Ovis aries: one gene and its partners. The protein of the gene in region 1 binds, or shares a complex with, the protein of each later gene. Links are inferred from orthologs where the notes say so. Each region holds a gene or a part of one and is shown on either strand. Other genes may lie near its edges. The genes, in order: CYBB, cytochrome b-245 light chain, cytochrome b-245 chaperone 1 and NCF2.

Region 1 (3,965 bases):
GGGGCTCCAAAATCACTGCAGATGGTGATTGCAGCCATGAAATTAAAAGACGCTTACTCCTTGGAAGGAAAGTTATGACCAACCTAGATAGCATATTCAAGAGCAGAGACATTACTTTGCCAACAAAGGTCCATCTAGTCAAGGCTATGGTTTTTCCAGTGGTCATGTATGGATGTGACAGTTGGACTGTGAAGAAAGCTGAGCACCAAAGAATTGATGTTTTTGAACTGTGGTGTTGGAGAAGACTCTTGAGAGTCCCTTGGACTGCAAGGAGATCCAACTAGTGCATCCTAAAGGAGATCAGCCCTGGGATTTCTTTGGAGGGAATGAGCTGAAGTTGAAACTCCAGTACTTTGTCCACCTCCTGTGAAGAGTTGACTCATTGGAAAAGACTCTGATGCTGGGAGGGATTGGGGGAAGGAGGAGAGGGGGACGACAGAGGATGAGATGGCTGGATGGCATCATTGACTCGATGGACGTGAGTCTGAGTGAACTCCAGGAGCTGGTGATGGACAGGGAGGCCTGGCGTGCTGCCATTCATGGGGTCGCAGAGTTGGACACGACTGAGCGACTGAACTGAACTGAACTGAACTGCAAAGTTAGAACCTAAAAGATGAGTGGAAATGAAAAAAAAAAAAAAAGAAGTTGCTATACTAGGGCTTCTTTGCCTTTGAAATTCTATCTACAATATCAGGTGATACTCTCTTGTCCATTTCCTTGTACCAGTGTTGTGAGTGTCACCCGGATATCAGTACAGAACTCAGTACTTCGTTTTCCCTACTCAATCCAGAAATTGTGCCTAGTTTGACATGTCATCTACGAAAACACAGAGAATCTCAATCCCACTGGGGCAGAGAAAATCTATGCCCTCTAAGTCCATCCTTGAATACGAAGATCAATAACACAGACACAGACACAGCTCATTCATTTTAATAATTGAGTGCCATTTTGATAGTTCTTCCCAAGAATTCTCTCCCAGGGCCCCCCTCTCCCAAATTATTCACACACAACATCTACAAGTATTCAAATTAATAAACACAATGTTGCAAAAGCAAAAGAAATAAGAAACTCCTTCATAGCCTTGAGATTAAAAATAATGCTTAATCATTCTCTCAGTAACTGTTACTAAATACTAAATACTAAATGCTAAAAAGGCTGCACGGGCAGCCAGTGGCTGGGGAGCAGGAAGGAAGCTCTTATAATGACAAGCGCGTTTACACTCATTTTTCATCTTATAACCAGGATAACACAGGGCGTAACTCTCTGGGTGTCAAAAATAGAAAACCCTGCAGAGATATTTTCAGAGCGACAAATAAAGTTGGTTTTACTTATGCCACATAGGGAGGAAGGGCCCAGATTCTCAGACTCCCTGTAACTCTCGTCCCCCTTCTGGCTCACACTTTGGCATAAAGAAATGAAACCACAAACAAGGAGCCTGAGTCATAGCAATAACACAATACAGCTTTGTTGAATGAATGAACTGATTCCTCAGGTGCAGTGTGAATGGGGCAGACCTAAGTTTCTCTTTGAAAAAACAGTCCTGGACATCATGGGGAAAAGACCTTCCCAAAGCAAGCCTGACTTGATGCCCTCAGTGCCCTGGGCATTCTGGGGACCCAATGGAACAACTGAGTTCTTTCTAGTTCAGCTTGGTCCCCTGAATAGGTCCACTCAGCATCAAATTTGTGGCCAGAATTTCAGATTCAATACCTTATGTGATCAGAATAAAATGAATATGTATATGGCTCCTGCAATTACATTCAATACATACAAGACTTTAAGAAATCTGGGGTAGAAAGTGACCCCCTTCCCCTACCCTTCCCTTTTGCCTTTTTTTTGTTTTTGGCTTTCTCTCACTTTCCTTCTATTGTCTTCCTCCCTCCCTCCCCTTTCCTCCTAACCTGGTCTTCTGCCCTTCCCCTCTGCTCCTTTCTCCTTCTTTCTCATTATTAAAGTTGATTACTTCTAAATATCTGTGGCCGCAGAGAATATAACAAATAAATTTGTTTTTAGTTTCCAGAAGTAGGAGCAGTTACATTAAGAGTGATTTAGAGATTCTTGAACTCATGAATATCTAGAATATTCTATTGGATATGAATTCAAAAGCTATATAGTAAGCTAGGGATTTAGTTTCTGGGATGTAAATTTTATTATGATCATGATGATAGAAGGATAAATCATTAGTTACACCAGTAAGATCAATTTTCCATGTGTATTTAAGTAAAACAAAGGGTGGATGCTATTTAAAGCAGCTGTCAGATACATTCTTGTCACAATTCTTAATTTCAAATTCACAAGTGCTGGCTGGAGAGGACCGTTTTGGGCAATAAATTAGTTTGCATTTCTTTCATAGCATCAGCAGGAGCAGGACTAAAGGAGCCAGCCAGAATTATAAGAGGAGTTTATTTCTCTGCCTCCATCTCCCTTTGGTGCAATGCTTCAAATAAGAGTGTTTGGACAGGACAACCTATTGGTTACTAACCTTAGCCTGTTCTGTACCCTTAAGAGAATGAGGCTCATTTGGTCAACTAGAGTATCAGAAGTGATTTCCTCAGATAATACTGTTTAAGGCTTTCAGTTGATTCTACCTTGGCACCGTATGGTTCTAAATGTCTTTTCATTCATTCATTCAGCTAACTTTCAATGAGTATCCACTCTCTGCCAAGTATCAGTGTAAATGGTGGGTCAAATATACATCCAGTCAGTTTAATATTCTTTTTTAGGAGAAATCTCTGACCCAGTTAGGCTGCTGTATTGGTAAACTGGAGGATGTCGTCACTATTAAGTGATGAATCATTCACAGGATAAATTATCTCCTACTTGGAACATTTCCTTCAATAGAGCAATACTGATAACAAAGATGACACAAAAGGGAATATGAATAACTATTCCCTGGTTCGCTTCTTCTTTGGGGGAGTATGCAAACCAATTTCCAGGCAACCTGCTATTGCTGAAAGATCACCAAAACTAGAGTCAGATGGCCTAGAGCCAGTCTCAGCTTTAATCTTAGGGAGGTTACTTCACCACTTTGAACCTTTTTTTTTTTTTTTATCCTGAAAACTGAGTCTGAGAATCTTTGCCCTACCTTTCCTGGCATTACTGTAAAGGGAAAAAACAAAATGAAAAAAAAAGTTTATATAATTGCTCTGAAAACCATAAAGCTCCACACAAATGCAAATTTATCACCATTAAAAATCTTTGACATTCCTTTCAGGGAAAATCATCACATCATAGTTCCTTTATCTTTTTTAAAGGGAGGAACTTATATTATCCACTAGCATTACTTGGTTATTCAGTGGTACAACCCACATTTATTCCTCATGGAAGAGACCAGTTAGAAGTTTTCCTTATTGAAAATGAAATGCACTCCCCTGGGGCCAGAGTCGGAGTTGGAGATGCACTGCTTATTAAGGGTGTCAGCCAAGGCTTCCGGTCCACAGAGGAAGACTCCTATTCTGGTACTTTTGGGGAGAAACAGAGAAAGAAAAAGACAGTTTTAGGCTTTGGGATGGGATCAATTACAAAGCACATCGGGAGATTTCCTACTGATTTTAGGCCTCAGAGCAGAGTCTCCTCAGCTCCTTTATCTTTCCACAAATGACAGAGTTCAGGTGACCCTTGGAAGGGTGGCTTGGTCCTGTTTATGGGGGCAGCTGGCTACTTTAAAAGGCAGCTGATTGTATTGAAAAAAAAAATGTCATTCAAGCAAGATTTATGGAAACTTCTACCACAGAGAAAATGGTGGTGAATTTGTGAGCCTGTGGTCTACTTCGTTTCGGGGCTCTGTGTTCTCAAACACTCCAGCATCTTTTTTTAAAAAATTATTTTTGACCACACCATGGGACATGTGAGAGCTTAGTTCCCTGACCCAGGATCGAACCACACCCTCCTGTACTTGAAGCACGGACTTTTAACCATTGGACCACGAGGGAAGTCACTCCAGTGTCTTAAAATCAGGAACAAAC
Region 2 (4,908 bases), on another chromosome or scaffold:
CCGGCCGTGGCCACAATGCCCCCGGTGATAAGGACTGTGGGCAGAGGAGAAGGAGGTTAGTAGGTGCCATACCCCATCTCTGCAGGGGCTCTGGCCCCTTCCCCAGGGCCCCCTCCCCAAGGAGGGCCAACAGTCCACCACAGAGCTGCCATATCCGCCACCATGTTAGCCCAGGAAGGGGACCCAGGCGGGGGAGACCTTGGTAGATGATGGGGGTGGCTATAGGCATGGGGGTTGGGACCCTTCCCCAAGAGCAGCATTTGAGGCAGGGAGGGGGCTGAGGAGCTGCTGAGAGGGAGGCAGGGCCTGGCTCTAGCCTGGACACACCCCCGAGGCCTGTGAGCCACGGCACCCTGAGCATTTGCTCAATGCATTTAAGGACCACGCTGTTGGTGGTTGACTTTGTACCAGCTGCGTGGACCCTCGGTCCTGGCCTCGGGTGTGTGGGCTGATCCTGTTCGTGTGCTCTGTGCGATGCTGGGTCTGGGTGGGCCTGGTCTCTCCAGCCCTGTGTGCACCTGATCGCAGCCCACCTGCCGCGAGCATGTGCATCGGCCCCATTCCTCCCCAGTGACTTTCTTCTACGGCGGCAGCTTCAGTGCACCGCTCAGGGGCGTGATGCACACTCACACCTGTCACTCCATCACGGCCACCCATCCTCAGGGTTCCAGTCACTTACTGGGGTATCACTATGACATAAAGTGCACAGACTTTTAACATGTGTGACCCCTACCATGTGACCTCCACCCATATCAAGATTCTCCCCCATCCCAGGTTTTCTGAGGGCTCTTCTTTTGCTGACAGAAGGTTGGTCCAGGCCCTTCCTGGGGTGGTTTGCACAGAGCTCTGGCTCGCTGTTTGTCTCATTGGGTAGTTTCCCACAATTTATTTATGCATTCTCCTGCCTTTGGGACATGTCAGTTGCTTCCAACGTTGGGCTTTTATGAATTAGCTGATAGAGTTAAACTCTTCACCCTTTAAGCAATCTGATAGTGAATTTGACACATTTTATTGACTGTGATTACAGATAACTTACTTTGTTATCTTACTTGGGTTTCCTCTTGAACAGCTTTTCTTGTTGCTTCTCCTGCCTTCTACTGACTTGATCAAACTGTAATTTTAAAATTCCTCTTCCTGAACTACATGTGGACTTTAGAAGGTTTATCTTTAATCTCACCCCAAATTAGCCACAATTATTAATTATTTACAGTCAGTGTCTTCACAGTGGCATAGCCATCTTCCCTCTGGATCCAGCTTCGCCCTCGCTGGAGCACACCCTTCAGCACTCCTTTCTGATGACTTGAACTTCTTCGTTGGTGGTCCCTGTGGCATAGAGTGGGAGAGGGCAGCCCCTGCCCCTTGTGTAGCACAGGCCTGAGTTTCCAGCAGTTTTGTCTTACTTGTGACTTTCTTCGTCCAGGCTGTGGTGGCAGATAACACAACTCCTTGGAGGGGACGATCTTTTGATCTGTTTCTTGTTCAGACAGCCTTTCCCGGTCTGGCCTCAGAGTCCCACGAGGTAAAAGCTCTGACCTCCCACCCCTCCCTTCAGCCCCTGAACCCTGGCCTTCTTCTGCTGGTGTCATGCTCACACTTGCTGTGCTGGAGGAGGGGAAGAGCCATCGCTCCTGCGTTCAGGCAGCGGCTCGTCCACTCGACCTGGGCATGTAATTTCCTTGGCCTGAGCCTGCGTCATTAGCAGGAGTCTCAGCTCCCAGAGGGGCCTGGGGTCTCTCGATGTGGACAGACACTTCAGATCATGGTGAATGAGGTAGGCGCTGTGGCTCGGAGCAGGTGGATGTGGGCAGAGAGGTGAAGCGGGGGGAGCCAGCTCTGTGGCAAACACCAGGGTGGTGGGCCCCCGAGGTCAGAGGGGCAGGGGCAGAGTGGTGGGAGATGGAGGGACCGTTATCTGATCAGATGCGATTCTCTATAACATAAAGGGACGGTGGGCTGAGATGCTCGTGGGGCCTGTGTTGGTACTGAGTCAGGAGTTAGCAAGAGGAGGAATTTAGAGCCAGAAGGTTGTGGAGGAAGACAAGCAGTAGTCATTGCGGTGGTGATGGGGAGGGGTAGACAGCACTGGGAGAAGACAGCTCTGGGCAGAAGCAAGGAAAGCCACGTACTGACCCACTGGGTTCTCCGCCATCTAGAAGCCAGAAGGGGGCTGCCCTGCCTGGCACCCCAAAGTTGCCCACCCCCAAAATGTGACCTTAAAGTGCTCCCTCCCCACCCCCAGCTCAGCTTCGCAGGCTCCTTCCTTCAGTCCCCAGGTTGGCGGTGGGGGCCTCAGGGTGGGTCCCAGGTGAGACGCGGTGGCTGAGACCCTCCTCATCACTTTATCCCCAGGTCCTCCCGCCCGCCCACTCTCACTGGGGGCGGGGCCTTCCTGGGAGGGGCGGGGCCACGGGGGGCTTCCTCAAGCCTCAAGCCCCACCCTCTCCTGAGAAGTTGAGTCCAAGTGCGTACAGCACTGTCTGCAACCGCGGTTGAGCACGGGGAAGCAGGGGGGACGGCCGCCTTCCTACCCAGAAGCAGGCCCTGGGAGCTGGGTGGGAGGGGTCACATGGGTCGTCTCCAGCTGCCTTGTGCAATGTCCTTCTGAGCAGACTCAGGGCTGCGCCCCGGGAGACAGAGCGGTCACCCAGTTCCATGGACCAAGCCTGGCCAGGAGGCAGGAAGAGCCCACCTCCGCAGCCCAGGGGCCTTAGGGGAGGGAGCTTCCACCCCAGGGCAGGAGGGTCACTCCAGGCAGGGGTGGGTCATGCTGGGTTTTCCCAGCCCTACTGGGCGGTGAGTTCTCCGGAAACCCCGGGGGCAAGCGCTTCTTCCCTAGACTGAACTTCCTCTTTTGTGTGTGTCGGGGGGGGCGAGGGAGAGGGGGAGGGGAAGAGGGTGTGCGGGGGAGGGGAGAGGGGACGGTGTGGGGGGTGGAGAAGAGGGCAGAGGATGGGGGTGTGGGTGTGCACGGGGTGCAGGGGCAGGAGGGCCCCGAATCCCCCTCCCCTGCTCCCAACAGAGGCCCCCAGCCCCCTTCCCGCCGGCGCTGTAGGTCGCCCACTGGAGCCTCCGGGCCCGGGGCCCCACCCCAGGCTCCAGCCGGGTGTCTTTGGCTCCTCAGGACCCCTGCTCCCGCCCCTTCTCCAGCCTGCCCTTTCCCCTTTACCTCTCGCAGCCTGGGGTCTCCAGGCCCCTACTTCCCCAGCCCCAGAGCCCCCCTGCACTGCCGCGGCGCCCCGCCCCCAGGCTCAGCAGCCCCTCTGCAGCCCCCGCCCCAAGTGCAAAGCGCCCCCCACTCACTCAGGCCGGACGCCAGCGCCTGCTCGTTGGCCCACATGGCCCACTCGATCTGCCCCATGGCGGCAGATCGGCTCGAACGCGGCTCGGACTCTTCAGACCCCGCGGCCCCAGAGCTCAGCAAGCCTCCCGCCCCGCCCAAGTTCCCCAAGTTCCGGCGCCGCCCCGCCCCGCCGCCGGCTCCGCCCCAACCCGCTTCCCCAGGTGACAGGCCGGCTGCAGGTTGGGGTCTCAGGAGCCTTGCCCCCAACTCGCTCCACGGGACCTCAGGTCTTCCTCCCCTGCAGGCCCAGCCAGCCCGGCCTCGGTGGACCCCTGGAGGGGAAGCAGGGCTTCAGGCCAGCCCCTGGGGAGACTCCTGGGAGGCCCGCCGCATCCGGCCCTGGGCTAGTGCAGGTGTGGTGGTGTTGGCCCCACTGGTAACCCTGGACTAACTTGGGGGGGTAGGGCGGGTGAGTATGGGAAGCTTCTGGGAGAACCCAGAATGTAGCAGTGCTGGGCCCTGTCCTTTGTCACCTCCCTCCTTGGACTCCCTTTTAGGGTCAAGGTCAGAGGGCTCAGAAGCCCTCCCCCTTCTTCCCCCAGCTGGGTTAGGACAGTGGAGAAGAATGGAACTCACTTGGAAGGGGGATGTGGACCGAGCTTAAAGCCAAACCCGAACCATTTCCCCAGCCTGTCGGCCTTAGTGACCACGTCTACCCACCACTGTGTGGCTGTGGCCTGTGCTAAGCATCCCAGGCATGGCGGGGAGGCCCCAGCCCCACCCCCCACAATGCCCGCCCAGCCCCCTGGGTGAGGGCTGAAGAAAGCACACCAGGCCAGGTGAGTCCTCGAACTGCCTTTACTCTGGCCTTGGCACTGCTCCTCTGTCCCGCAGACACAACACTGCACCCACTCAGGGGCCTGGGCTCAGAGTTGAGGGAGCACTTCATGGAGCTGTCCTGAGGTCGTCCCCTGCACGGTGACCCGGCTTCCAGCTCTGAGGGGTACCCCGACATGCCATCACCTCCTGTGGCAGTGGGGTGCCCATGAGTCCGGGGCCTGAGGGCCCTTCATGATCGATGCACCAGCAGCTCCCTGCCGGCTCAGTCCCCTGGTCTTGGATCAGGGTCCAGGTCCCCATCTCAGCAAGCGCTGGGTGCAGGTCAGGGAAAGGTGAGGCACTTGGGGGGGCTTCCCCTGATCATCTGGGTGGCTGCAGGCGTCATCCATTGCCCAACTCAGCCACAGCACATGGCCTGGCCCAGAGCAGGCAGTTACCCACAAATCCCAACAAGCGTGGCCTGTTGACCACCACACCCGGCTCCCAATCCCAGTGAAGCGGCCCCTTCTCCCAGCGGCGGCCGGGCCCCATCAAAGAGGTGGTCAGGCAGCTGGCTTTGGCAGACCGTCAGGACCCAGGAGATGAGCGACAGGGTCGTCCAGGACCTGAGGCCCGGGTCCCACCTGTGGGGTTAAGAAATTATCATCAGGGAGGGACAGGGTGCACCTGCCCTTCCAGGAAATGCAGGCAGGTCAGACACCCTGGTGATGCTGGGCCCAGGGCCCAATCCTCAGGCAGAGGCTCAGTCCCTCTGGGCAGACGTGGAGTGGATAGCAAGTCTGGAGCGG
Region 3 (4,938 bases), on another chromosome or scaffold:
AAAAAGGGCTCAGATGCATTTTCATAGAACGGGCAATGCAGTCTGAATTTAAAACAAAGATGTAATGTATTGATAACTGGAAAAAAATGTACAGATTTTATTCACTCAGTCCCCTATTTGTGTATTTTGTATTTATTTCCAGTCTTTTGCTCTTACCTATATTCAGCAGGATTTTAATCAAATCAGCCATCATTTGTTCTCTCATTTAACATTAATAGAAAGCCAGTGTAGGCTTCATTTTTAAATGGCTTGTACTCTGGTATAAAAGGTTAAATTATGTCAAGGACTGTAATGCAAAGTGGAATTTTCTGGGTATCAATTCAGTTCTCCCTAAATTCTAAGGAATTAAGATCACAAGCAGAGAGGACTTAAAGGAGGTGCTAAGCAATTCAAATAGACCTTCAAGATGGCGGTAATCTTACCACAGAAGGCATTTCAAGGAAATAGAATGTGGGCTGAGGCATCAGGTCAGGGAACCTGCCACATTCTTGCAGAACCTACTTTTGTTACAGCTCTGAGCTTAAGTTCTCTGGGTGTGGTTCTCAGAGCAGCAGGCACCAGCATGAGTACATTTCAAGCCCCATCCATTGCTGGAACAGGTCCAGTGGTCTGTGTTTCAGTAGCCCCACCAGGTGATTCTGAACCACAGGCAGAGTACATAGAGACTGGTGAAATAGAAAAGTCATCCCCCAATTTTTGACATTGTGCCTATATTGGTAAAACATCTAGGGTTATGCATACCCATGTGTGTATATTTCTTTATACACTGTGTATAAGTCTTATGTAAATTATAGGACACATGAGAATAGACATAAAAAGATAAGTAGGAATACAAGCTCTAGTATGTTCTTCCAGCACTCTATAGATCATCTTGACCGTCCCAGTTTGGAGGCCACTGATGCAGTGGCTGTGCGGTAGAGGCTCTCCTGTTTCAGGTAATCCTCTAGTGGGAAATAGGCAAATCAGGGTCCTACTTGGGGCCTCATCTGGGGGCCCTGGCGGTACATTATGAGTGTTTTGCTGGAGAGTGGAGCAGGGAGGCCACCTAAGCGGCCATTTCAAGGTATTCCTGGAGAATATGATCTCTTACTACAGTCCTCCTTCCCCTACAATGGGGCAAGTTTAGGAGGAGCAGAAAAACTGCCCTCACGAAAATGTGAATTTCCCAGCTACACTGAGTTTTTTTGGGGGGGTCAAGGATCTCTAGTTCTCTCCTACCCTCCTCCACAGTGCCTTGCAGCGCTGTGCCGATTTTTCAACCTGTTGATACTCTTACTAGGTTCGCAATTCAATCTACAGAGCAAGTTGGGAGAATTCACATTTGTACTATAATTTTCCAAACCACGAACAACTATTTTAGTTCTATTTTAATGCTTCCCATTAAAGTTTTTACAGAACCTACCATAATGTTTGTATGTATCTGTTGTGAGCTTAAATATATACTTCACGTTTCCTTACCATCTTAAATGGCTGTCCCGTGCTTACAACTTCACCTGCCTCCGCTGATCTTCTAAAGACTGCAACCCCAGGCGCTCTGTGCTGAGTGCCGGGGTGCGCAAAACCCATGACAGCCTCCGCAATCTCTACTGATTGGTAGTCAACCTCATTCTAGAGCCCCGCCAGCCCTCTTCTCTCGAGGGCTAAATGGAAGCCCCGGAAGTCAGGACCCGCGCGCCTCGCCCCGCCCCCGAGTCTGGAAGTCTACTGTCCCATCCGCCCCCGCGGGTCCGGAAGTCAGTTGGTCCCGCCCCCAGCTCCGGAAGTTGGAGGCCGGCGCGTTTTGAAGTCCTGCCGGTCCCGCCCGTCCCGCCTCCGCGCCTGCAGGTTTGTGTCTGCGGTGAGCGCCCGGGCTGTGCCACGGTTGCGGGTTGGGGGGCGCGGGGTGTGCTGAGGGGCGGCTCCCGCAGCCGAGGTCCTTCCGGGAGCGCGGTCTTGTGACCCGGCCCGGGTCGATGCCCCGGGGGCCTGGCAGCGCTCGAGGCTAGAAGGGTGCACAGTGTGGCCGCAAGGGTCAGTGGAGAGTGTCCTAAGCGGCTCGTGCAGGTGACAGGAGTGATCTCGCCCCGCGGGCGGCCGAGTCGCGTGTGGAAACAGGCGAAGCGTGTCAAAGGGAGGGAGCCGGGGATATCGCAGGATCTTGGCTTCGTTTGTGTGAACTGAATCCACTCTTTGTTGTCAGAAATTTGACAACTTTACAGAGAACACCTGAAAAGCTACCCAAAACGGGGCCCCTGGAGCCAGCATTTTGAACGTATTGCAGGGCAGAATTCTCCACTTGTGGAAGATCAGTCCCCTTTGCTGACTCGTTCATTAAGCTGGTGCTCCTGGCCGTCCAAACCCTCCGCTGGGTGCGGACTGTTGTCTCCGCAGCTGCAGGAACTGACTTTTCGATCAGTGCCTCTCATCAAACCATGACGAGACTTTCAGTTCTCTTTTTCATAGGCCTGTACAGGGAAATGAGGGTGTTCTGGTACGTTCTGATAGGGTGCCAGAAGTTTGGAGGCTGCTGGGGGCTAACGGTTTCCAAGAGACTGAGGTTTCCAGGTAAGAAGTGGACAGGTGATGATCAAATGTTGAAGCTTTGTGAGCCAGAGCAGGGGACATAGCCCCAGTGCAACCACTATATCTGCGCAAAGAACCTTCCTTACAGAGGACATGGGTCCCTAGGGGGTTGACTTGCCTGACCACAGGACAGCAGTCAGCACAGGCTGAGTGGTTTCTGAACCTGTGTGGACCTTGTCAGTGGGCAGCTGGGCATCCTGTCCTGGAGAGCAGCTGGGTTCTTGTCTGTTAGCAGCGGCCCAAGGGCTCCAGCTGTCTCTTTGTGTCCTTCCCTAGGCGCCCTGGTCTCTTGTTGAAGGTGGTGGCAGCACGTTCCAGGGATGTATATGCAGGTGGAGACACGCACCAGCTCCCGCCTCCATCTGAAGAGGGCTCCAGGCATCAGATCCTGGTCCCTGCTGGTTGGTAAGGATGTTCATATTTCTCAAGTTAAAAATCCAACTTTACAAAAGGATGAAGATTAAACTAAAATTTTCCTTGGTTCTACTACCCCAGGAAATAGCAACTATTATGTCTTTCCAGCTTTTATCCTTTTCGAGTGCTTTTACAGAGGGTCAGTCTTGTGTTTTTTCACCATTTAACATCCTTTGGTTAATAGTCTCCATGCTCCTGTGAGGTCCCTGTATTTCCTTTTTTGTTTGCTTTCATAAGGTTAGGGCCTGTGTGATGGAGACAGTAAGGAGTAAGGGTGGGGAGGCCCCTGGTCCTGTACCCTGTCAATCCCCATTGCCCTGCACTCCCTGGGCAGCTGCACATGTTAATTGGAACTGAGGTGTGAGGGGAGGTGCTGCTGCACCTTCGGCAGCCTGGCTCTGGGCCTTCTTTCCCGGGACTCTTCCTGTTTCGTCTCGTGCGGGGTTGTGATTCTTCACCTGCAGTCTTGTCTTCATTCCACACCATGTGCTGTCAGTGGATGAGACCCACATCAGGTTCCTCTTTCTGGTTCCCCTGTCAGCTCTGGAACCTCAGCGTAGACATGTGACCAGTGAATACTGTGACTGAGGTAGAACATTCTTGTAAACAGACTTCCTGGTTGTTTCCACAATTTCTGAGCCTGGCGGTTTTCTTGCCCCCCTGCTCCCTGCTCTTAGCCATCCCTGGCAGCAGGGGGGGCTGCTTACCTGGGTCTGCGGGTCATGGGAGGAGGTGGTCTCTGGGCTAGTGGTGGCCCAATGGAAAGGGACTGGTTTTCTCCCCACAGGAATCTTGTCGATCGGCCTGGCTGCTGCCTACTACAGTGGAGGTGAGGAATGGCATCTGCCCTGCCCCGCCCCATCCCTAGGAGCTTCCTTAGCTGATTGGAAAATAAGAGAAAAAAAGGAAACCCTGTCATTTGTAATCTGATAGGCATGATTTGGGGGATTGTCCCTGCCTCTAAATGGGGCTTCCCTGGTTGCTCAGATGGTAAAGAATCTGCCTGCAGTGTGGGAGACCTGGTTTCTATCCCTGGGTTGGGAATAGCCCCTGGAGAAGGGAATGGCTACCCACTTCTGCCTAGGAAATCCCATGGACAGAGGAGGCTGGCAGGTTACAGTCCATGGGGTCATAAGGAGTTGGACTTTCTTCCTCTAAATGGTTTGCAGGCGTGGTCTCACCTTCATGCGCTTGTGTGCCCCCCACAGCTTGCATTCATTTACATCAGCATTTTCATGTCATAAAATATGCAGAAAGGCACTCTCATGTCTGCCTCAGGTCTTGTGGCAGGAATAGTCTATGCTTTCAGCAGCTCCCTGGAAGTAGTCCCCCATCTCTGCTCTCACACACGGTGCCATGATCGTAATCTCGAGGAGTCACCCACGTGGAGAGCTGAAGGCAGAGCTGGTGGACCACATCCTGCCCTGTGTGACAGGGCCCACAGTGCTGGATGGCCTTGGCAGGGGTGGGGTGTCCTTGGAGGCATGGGCAGTCAGCTGGGCCCTCAGGGGCCACTCCTGCCCAGAGTCTGGGAAGCAGCTGTTCTGGGAGGAGGCACCCCCTGTAGGCATGTTGACTTTTGCCCCCCTGCTACCTGCCCATGGCTGTCTCCTGTGTTTGCTCCCCAGATAGTCTGGGCTGGAAGCTCTTCTATGTCACGGGCTGTCTGTTTGTGGCCGTGCAGAACCTGGAGGACTGGGAGGTGAGGCTGATGCAGGAAGGGTGCCCAGGCTTTGGGGCTCCTGGGTTCCCCTGCAGGGCTCGTCAAAGGAAGAAAGACTCCAGGGTCCTAATGCCCTCCACCCCGATCCTGAAATGTGAGCCCAGTGGTTTCTGGCCAGCTTGACTTGGCCCCTGGACATTGCCTATTTGTGACCATTTGTGGGCCACAGAATCTTCTGAAGCTGCTCTCCTAGAAGGGCGAGGCCACCTCCCTCTCCTCCCTTTTGTCCTTCCTCATGT
Region 4 (4,430 bases), on another chromosome or scaffold:
CAGCATTAGGTTCTCATAGGAGCTGGAACCCTTCCCCTAAAGTCAAGGTGGAATATTCTGAAATTGCCACAAAATAGAAACACAGTGCACAAGAAACGCAATCATCTCTAAACCATTCCCTTGCCCTGGTTCATGGATAAACTGTCTTCCACAAAACCCACCCCTGGTACCAGAAAGGCTGGGGACTGCTGTTCTAGGGGATTTCTCCCCCACCCCCCTCACCTCCTCACCCAGCGAGTTCTCACCCGCCTTCTCCCTTGCACCTTGGCATCTGGTCGGGCCCCGCCCAGACTCGGCCACTGGCCAAGCACAGCTGGGATCCTTCCTCCTCAGAAGGGAAGGGAGGGCAGGGGTTGCAAGGCATCATCGAGTGTTGTGTGATGTTGTTGTTTTTTTAGCTCTTGTCCCACTGCATGTGTGGTCACGGAGCATGTTCACAGGCAGAGTCCTCTCAGGCCGTCAGATGGGCAAATCCCTGCTCAGGGTCGCCTGGGCAGTTAGGGGTGGGAGTGAGGCTCCCAGCTCTGGGTCCATAGTTGCTGACCCACAGCATCATGGGAACAGATGTGGTCCAGGCTAGATGGTGGGTGAGATCTCATATCTTGTGTCTACCCCTCCTCTTCTCCCCACCCTCATCCCGCAGGGCCCTGGAAGGGGAAGCCCACCGTGTGTTGTTTGGGTTTGTGCCTGAGACCCCAGAGGAGCTGCAGGTCATGCCGGGGAACATCGTCTTTGTCTTGAAGAAGGGCAATGATAACTGGGCTACAGTCATGTTCAACGGGCAGGTATTCAGAGGATGGGGGGGGTGGGTGGGTTAATGGCACAGGATCCTGGCAGCACATGGCAGAGCTTTTTGAGGAGCAGCATCTGCTGCCTTATATGCAGGCCAGCTGCCCCCTCTTTCACCTGTCCTCCCACCCCTCCCCACGTCTCTGGGTGTCCTGCACTGCTGCTGACGTCTGCATCTTTGTTCCCGCTTTCTGGCTCCACGATGCTGCGCTGCAGAAGGGGCTTGTTCCCTGCAACTACCTTGAACCAGTTGAGCTGCGGATCCATCCTCAGCAGCAGCCCCAGGTAATGTAGTGCCAAGGGCTGACCCGTTCCCTTCCTACCCTTGAAACCCACCACCGACAGACCACGGAGGAGAGCAGAGAGGAAGAGGCCCTGAGGACTCACTAGTCCTGAGCCCACCTTGAGTTGGTACCAGCCACCCAGAGCTGAACCTAGGGATGAAAGAAAAAATCCAGACGTGCTGAGTGGAGGCATCAGCAGGTCCTATTGGGCCCCCAGCTCTGTGATTCCTGCTGGTCAAGGGTGACTTGACCACAACTACAGCACGTGACAACTTAGGTCTTCCCAGGATATCGTCTTCATCCGGAAGAAGAGTCAGCGTGCTGGCTGGTGAAATCCATTCACCATAGGAAATGTGCTTTGGAGCACTGAATTAGAGCAGACCTTGCCAGCCACTGCTTCCAATGCCGCTGCCACCTCCACCCACTCACCCCATCTCAATGACCTGCCCTTCTGCCAGTCCTGGGGAGTAGTCTTCGTTGGATCTGTGCAGATGCCTGATGGCAATAGATCCTGTCTCTAGACTATGCAACCAGTTGTCCTCTGTGGGGTTGGCCCTCCCTGGTCAGAGACACGATGTCCAGATGACTGGAAAATTTCTAAATGCCATGTAGATGCGAAGTGTCAAGTTTCTTCTGAAGGAGCAAGGTGTACAGTGAGAGCGAGCAAGTTTAGACAAAGGTCCTACCCTGCCTCCAATGGGTTTCCAGTGTGGCAATTGGGGTGATTAGGTAGCAAGGGCTTTGTAGCTGGAGGATTAAGATTCTTATTTTCTCATTATTATTTCTACTGTGATTGTTTTCACCAGGCCCACTCTGCCTGCCACTGAATCAATACTTTCCTTCAGTTCAGTTCAGTTCATTCGCTCAGTCATGTCTGACTCTTTGCAGCCCTATGGACTGTGGTACGCCAGGCTTCCCTGTCCATCATGAACTCCCAGAGTTTACTCAACCTCATCTGCATTGAGTCGGTGATGCCATCCAACCATCTCATCCTCTGTCGTCCCCTTCTCCTCCTGCCTTCAGTCTCCTCCCAGCCCTTAGTCTCCACTAAATGTCACCACCCCTCCAACTCTTAGGAAGTCATTTGCATCTGGCTCCCTTCCATGGTGGTCTGCAGGGTCTCCCTGACTCCTACCCCTGCCTAAGAACTGTCTGCATGAAGGTTCTCATCCTCTCTTCCTCTCCCCTCCAGGAAGAAACCTCCCCCAAGTCTGATATCCCAGCTCCCCCGAGTTCCAGTGCTCCTGGAAGACCCCAGTCGTCACCAGGTTAGAGTCTCTGGAGGACCATCCCGGGATTGGGTGCAGGAGTGCTTCAGGCTGCCTCCCCACGGAGGTTTCTTCTCCCAGCCTGACAGAATCTGGTTTCTTGTTCTCCCAGCTTATGATCACGATGCCCCAGAGCGCCCCCCCTCATCCTGTGTTACTCACCCACCCCAAACACAGGAAAACAGAAATGCTTCCTCCCTGCCTGCTCCAGAACATGCAGGGAGCTTGGGTAAAGGCAGCTGCTTTCTGGCAGGCTGTGAGCATCCCAACTCAATCAGTTATTAAGTAGTGGGACCTTATCCCAGGAGGAAAGGCTCAAGTAATTGCACCTGTTGACCTCAAAGTGGAGTGGAGTGGTTCTTTTCAAAACACTGAGGAGCTCTATCTAGAAAAGAAACTCTGCACAGTGCTGGAGGATGGACAAAGAACCAACACGAAAGGGAGACTCTCCTGATATGTGGAGACGGCTGCCCTGGGAAGTCATGGACTTTTGGTCACTAGTGCGGGTTAAGCAGATCCTGAGTAAGTGCTTGGTAGAGATGCACTGAATAGGTGGTTTGTCCAGATCCTAGATCAAAGACTGTCATGCCCACCTGGTCACCAGAATCACTGGGGATGCTCCCCACCCCTATTTTTACTTTGAAAATATCAAACCTACAGAAAGGTTGAAAGTATGGTACAATATGAACACAAGAATATCTTTCACTTAAATTCAGTAATTGTTAACATTTTGCACCATGTACTTGGCTCCTCCTCTTGTTAATATAATTTTTTTTCTAGTTGCTAAACCACTTGAAACTAAGTTACAGACTCATGACATTTCACCCTGCACTTCAGCATCTGAATCCTAAGAACAAAGATGCTCTTCTGCATAAGCACAATATAATATCTAGGATAGTGTTGACATATTATATATTATTATATAATATAGATTATATATTTCATATTCAAATTTCTCCTATTATCCTCCAATGTCTTTGACAGCTTTCTTGAATTTATATTTTCTGTCTAGGGGCCCATCAAGGATCACATATTAACCTAGGAAGATTTTAAGAACGTAGAATTAAAGGCCTTTGATTCTGATTTTTAAGGACTGGAATCAGGTTTAGAAACCTGTTTTTCTAAAAAAAAAATCCCAAGTATTCTAATGATCAACTGGGTTTGAGATCAGTGGTCTTTTTTGAGCATGCACTGCTGTTTCCATGGTGAATATCATTATACATACTTTTCTTATATAAATTATATGTGTTTAGTCACTCAGTCATGTTTGACTCTTTGCAATCCCAAGGACTGTAGCCCACCAGGCTCCTCTGTTCATGGGACTCTCCAGGCAAGAATACTGGGGTGGGTAGCCATTCCCTTCTTGGGTTGGGAAGATGAGATCTTCCTAACCAGTCCCAACCATAGGATTGAACCTAGGTCTCCGGCACTGCAGGCAGATTCTTTACCATCTGAACCACTGGGGAAACCCCATACATTATATATGTACTGCTATGTTAATATATGTTATACATTAGAAAACATACACAAGATAAAGGACAAATTAAAAATAAGCAGTTATTTCTCCTTGCGGCTCCTGGCTCATCTCACACTCACTGATTTTGTTTCGATGGAGCCCACCGCTCTAACTGACCTTTGGGCATCTTGCATGATACCACTACACCAGCAGCACTATTATTAACTGTCCTTTGGGATCCCTCCCTAACTGCACGGGCTGGTGAGGATGTGATGGTCCTTTGCTAATTACCTATATGCTGCCTGGAAGCAGAGACTGGGTTCATTTGTGTGTTCATGGCTTTGCCCTTCACATCTACCCAATGATTTCCACCCAAGTTTATTAAGGTTAATAATCACCCCACAGGTTAAAGCGTATAATGTTGGGCACCTGGTTCTAAGTGGTTTCGTCTTGTGTATGGCAGGGGCTAGCCAAGAGTGTTCATTCATCATCTCTCTTTGTTTTACTCTCACCTTCTCCATTTAGGTCAGAAAGGAAAAGAAGAGCCCAAGGTAATTTTTTTTTCCTTGTACTATTTCGAGTGGTAGAGAAAGGAAGAGCTTAGGTTGCCCACCTAACCATTTCTACGGGCGG

What was found.
Region 2: the proteins of CYBB (region 1) and cytochrome b-245 light chain are in contact, whole or in part, in a cryo-EM structure (PDB 8X2L), measured with the Homo sapiens proteins. The link is inferred for Ovis aries from reciprocal best matches to the Homo sapiens genes CYBB and CYBA. Residues at the interface, in NP_000388.2 of Homo sapiens: Thr116, Ile117, Leu120, Phe121, Val123, Glu124, Asn128, Asn133, Lys161, Asn162, Pro163, Gly166, Leu167, Ala170, Val180, Thr183, Leu184, Ile187, Leu188, Thr191, Ser192, Thr194, Lys195, Thr196, Ile197, Arg199, Ser200, Tyr201, Glu203, Val204; in NP_000092.2 of Homo sapiens: Gln3, Ile4, Glu5, Trp6, Met8, Trp9, Glu12, Gln13, Ala16, Ile20, Thr23, Val27, Gly31, Phe33, Thr34, Gln35, Arg56, Arg59, Met65, Gly102, Phe103, Leu104, Leu105, Ala106, Ile108, Leu109, Ala112, Cys113, Ile116.
Region 3: the proteins of CYBB (region 1) and cytochrome b-245 chaperone 1 are in contact, whole or in part, in a cryo-EM structure (PDB 8KEI), measured with the Homo sapiens proteins. The link is inferred for Ovis aries from reciprocal best matches to the Homo sapiens genes CYBB and CYBC1. Residues at the interface, in NP_000388.2 of Homo sapiens: Trp28, Asn74, Leu75, Leu76, Ser77, Phe78, Leu79, Arg80, Gly81, Ser82, Ser83, Ala84, Cys85, Cys86, Trp206, His210, Phe212, Pro266, Met268, Trp270, Lys271, Ile273, Tyr280, Tyr324, Phe326, Lys328, Leu335, Glu336, Trp337, His338; in NP_001028218.1 of Homo sapiens: Arg22, Leu26, Ala37, Ser41, Gly42, Asp43, Trp47, Phe50, Tyr51, Phe57, Gln61, Asn62, Glu64, Lys77, His97, Asp98, Gln99, Val100, Val101, Val102, Leu103, Arg108, Ser111, Glu115, Val117, Arg118, Tyr119, Phe120, Arg129, Ala131.
Region 4: CYBB (region 1) and NCF2 share a complex: the UniProt entries of both Homo sapiens proteins name them as parts of the phagocyte NADPH oxidase complex. The link is inferred for Ovis aries from reciprocal best matches to the Homo sapiens genes CYBB and NCF2.

What each region holds. Positions count from the first base shown.
Region 1 is NC_056080.1:37,145,823-37,149,787, reverse strand, and holds the end of CYBB (cytochrome b-245 heavy chain), read right to left. Parts: intron 3,462-3,965; coding exon 3,335-3,461; 3' UTR 915-3,334; downstream 1-914. UniProt on the Homo sapiens protein: Catalytic subunit of the phagocyte NADPH oxidase complex that mediates the transfer of electrons from cytosolic NADPH to O2 to produce the superoxide anion (O2(-)).
Region 2 is NC_056067.1:13,434,287-13,439,194, forward strand, and holds the start of cytochrome b-245 light chain, read right to left. Parts: upstream 3,410-4,908; 5' UTR 3,359-3,409; coding exon 3,301-3,358; intron 35-3,300; coding exon 1-34. Other genes in the region: MVD (diphosphomevalonate decarboxylase), read right to left, coding at 4,663-4,743. UniProt on the Homo sapiens protein: Subunit of NADPH oxidase complexes that is required for the NADPH oxidase activity that generates, in various cell types, superoxide from molecular oxygen utilizing NADPH as an electron donor.
Region 3 is NC_056064.1:49,807,954-49,812,891, forward strand, and holds the start of cytochrome b-245 chaperone 1, read left to right. Parts: upstream 1-1,736; 5' UTR 1,737-2,544; intron 2,545-2,838; 5' UTR 2,839-2,882; coding exon 2,883-2,967; intron 2,968-3,763; coding exon 3,764-3,805; intron 3,806-4,604; coding exon 4,605-4,678; intron 4,679-4,938. UniProt on the Homo sapiens protein: Functions as a chaperone necessary for a stable expression of the CYBA and CYBB subunits of the cytochrome b-245 heterodimer. Controls the phagocyte respiratory burst and is essential for innate immunity.
Region 4 is NC_056065.1:64,050,645-64,055,074, reverse strand, and holds part of NCF2 (neutrophil cytosol factor 2), read left to right. Parts: intron 1-643; coding exon 644-785; intron 786-1,005; coding exon 1,006-1,074; intron 1,075-2,265; coding exon 2,266-2,341; intron 2,342-4,322; coding exon 4,323-4,348; intron 4,349-4,430. UniProt on the Homo sapiens protein: Subunit of the phagocyte NADPH oxidase complex that mediates the transfer of electrons from cytosolic NADPH to O2 to produce the superoxide anion (O2(-)).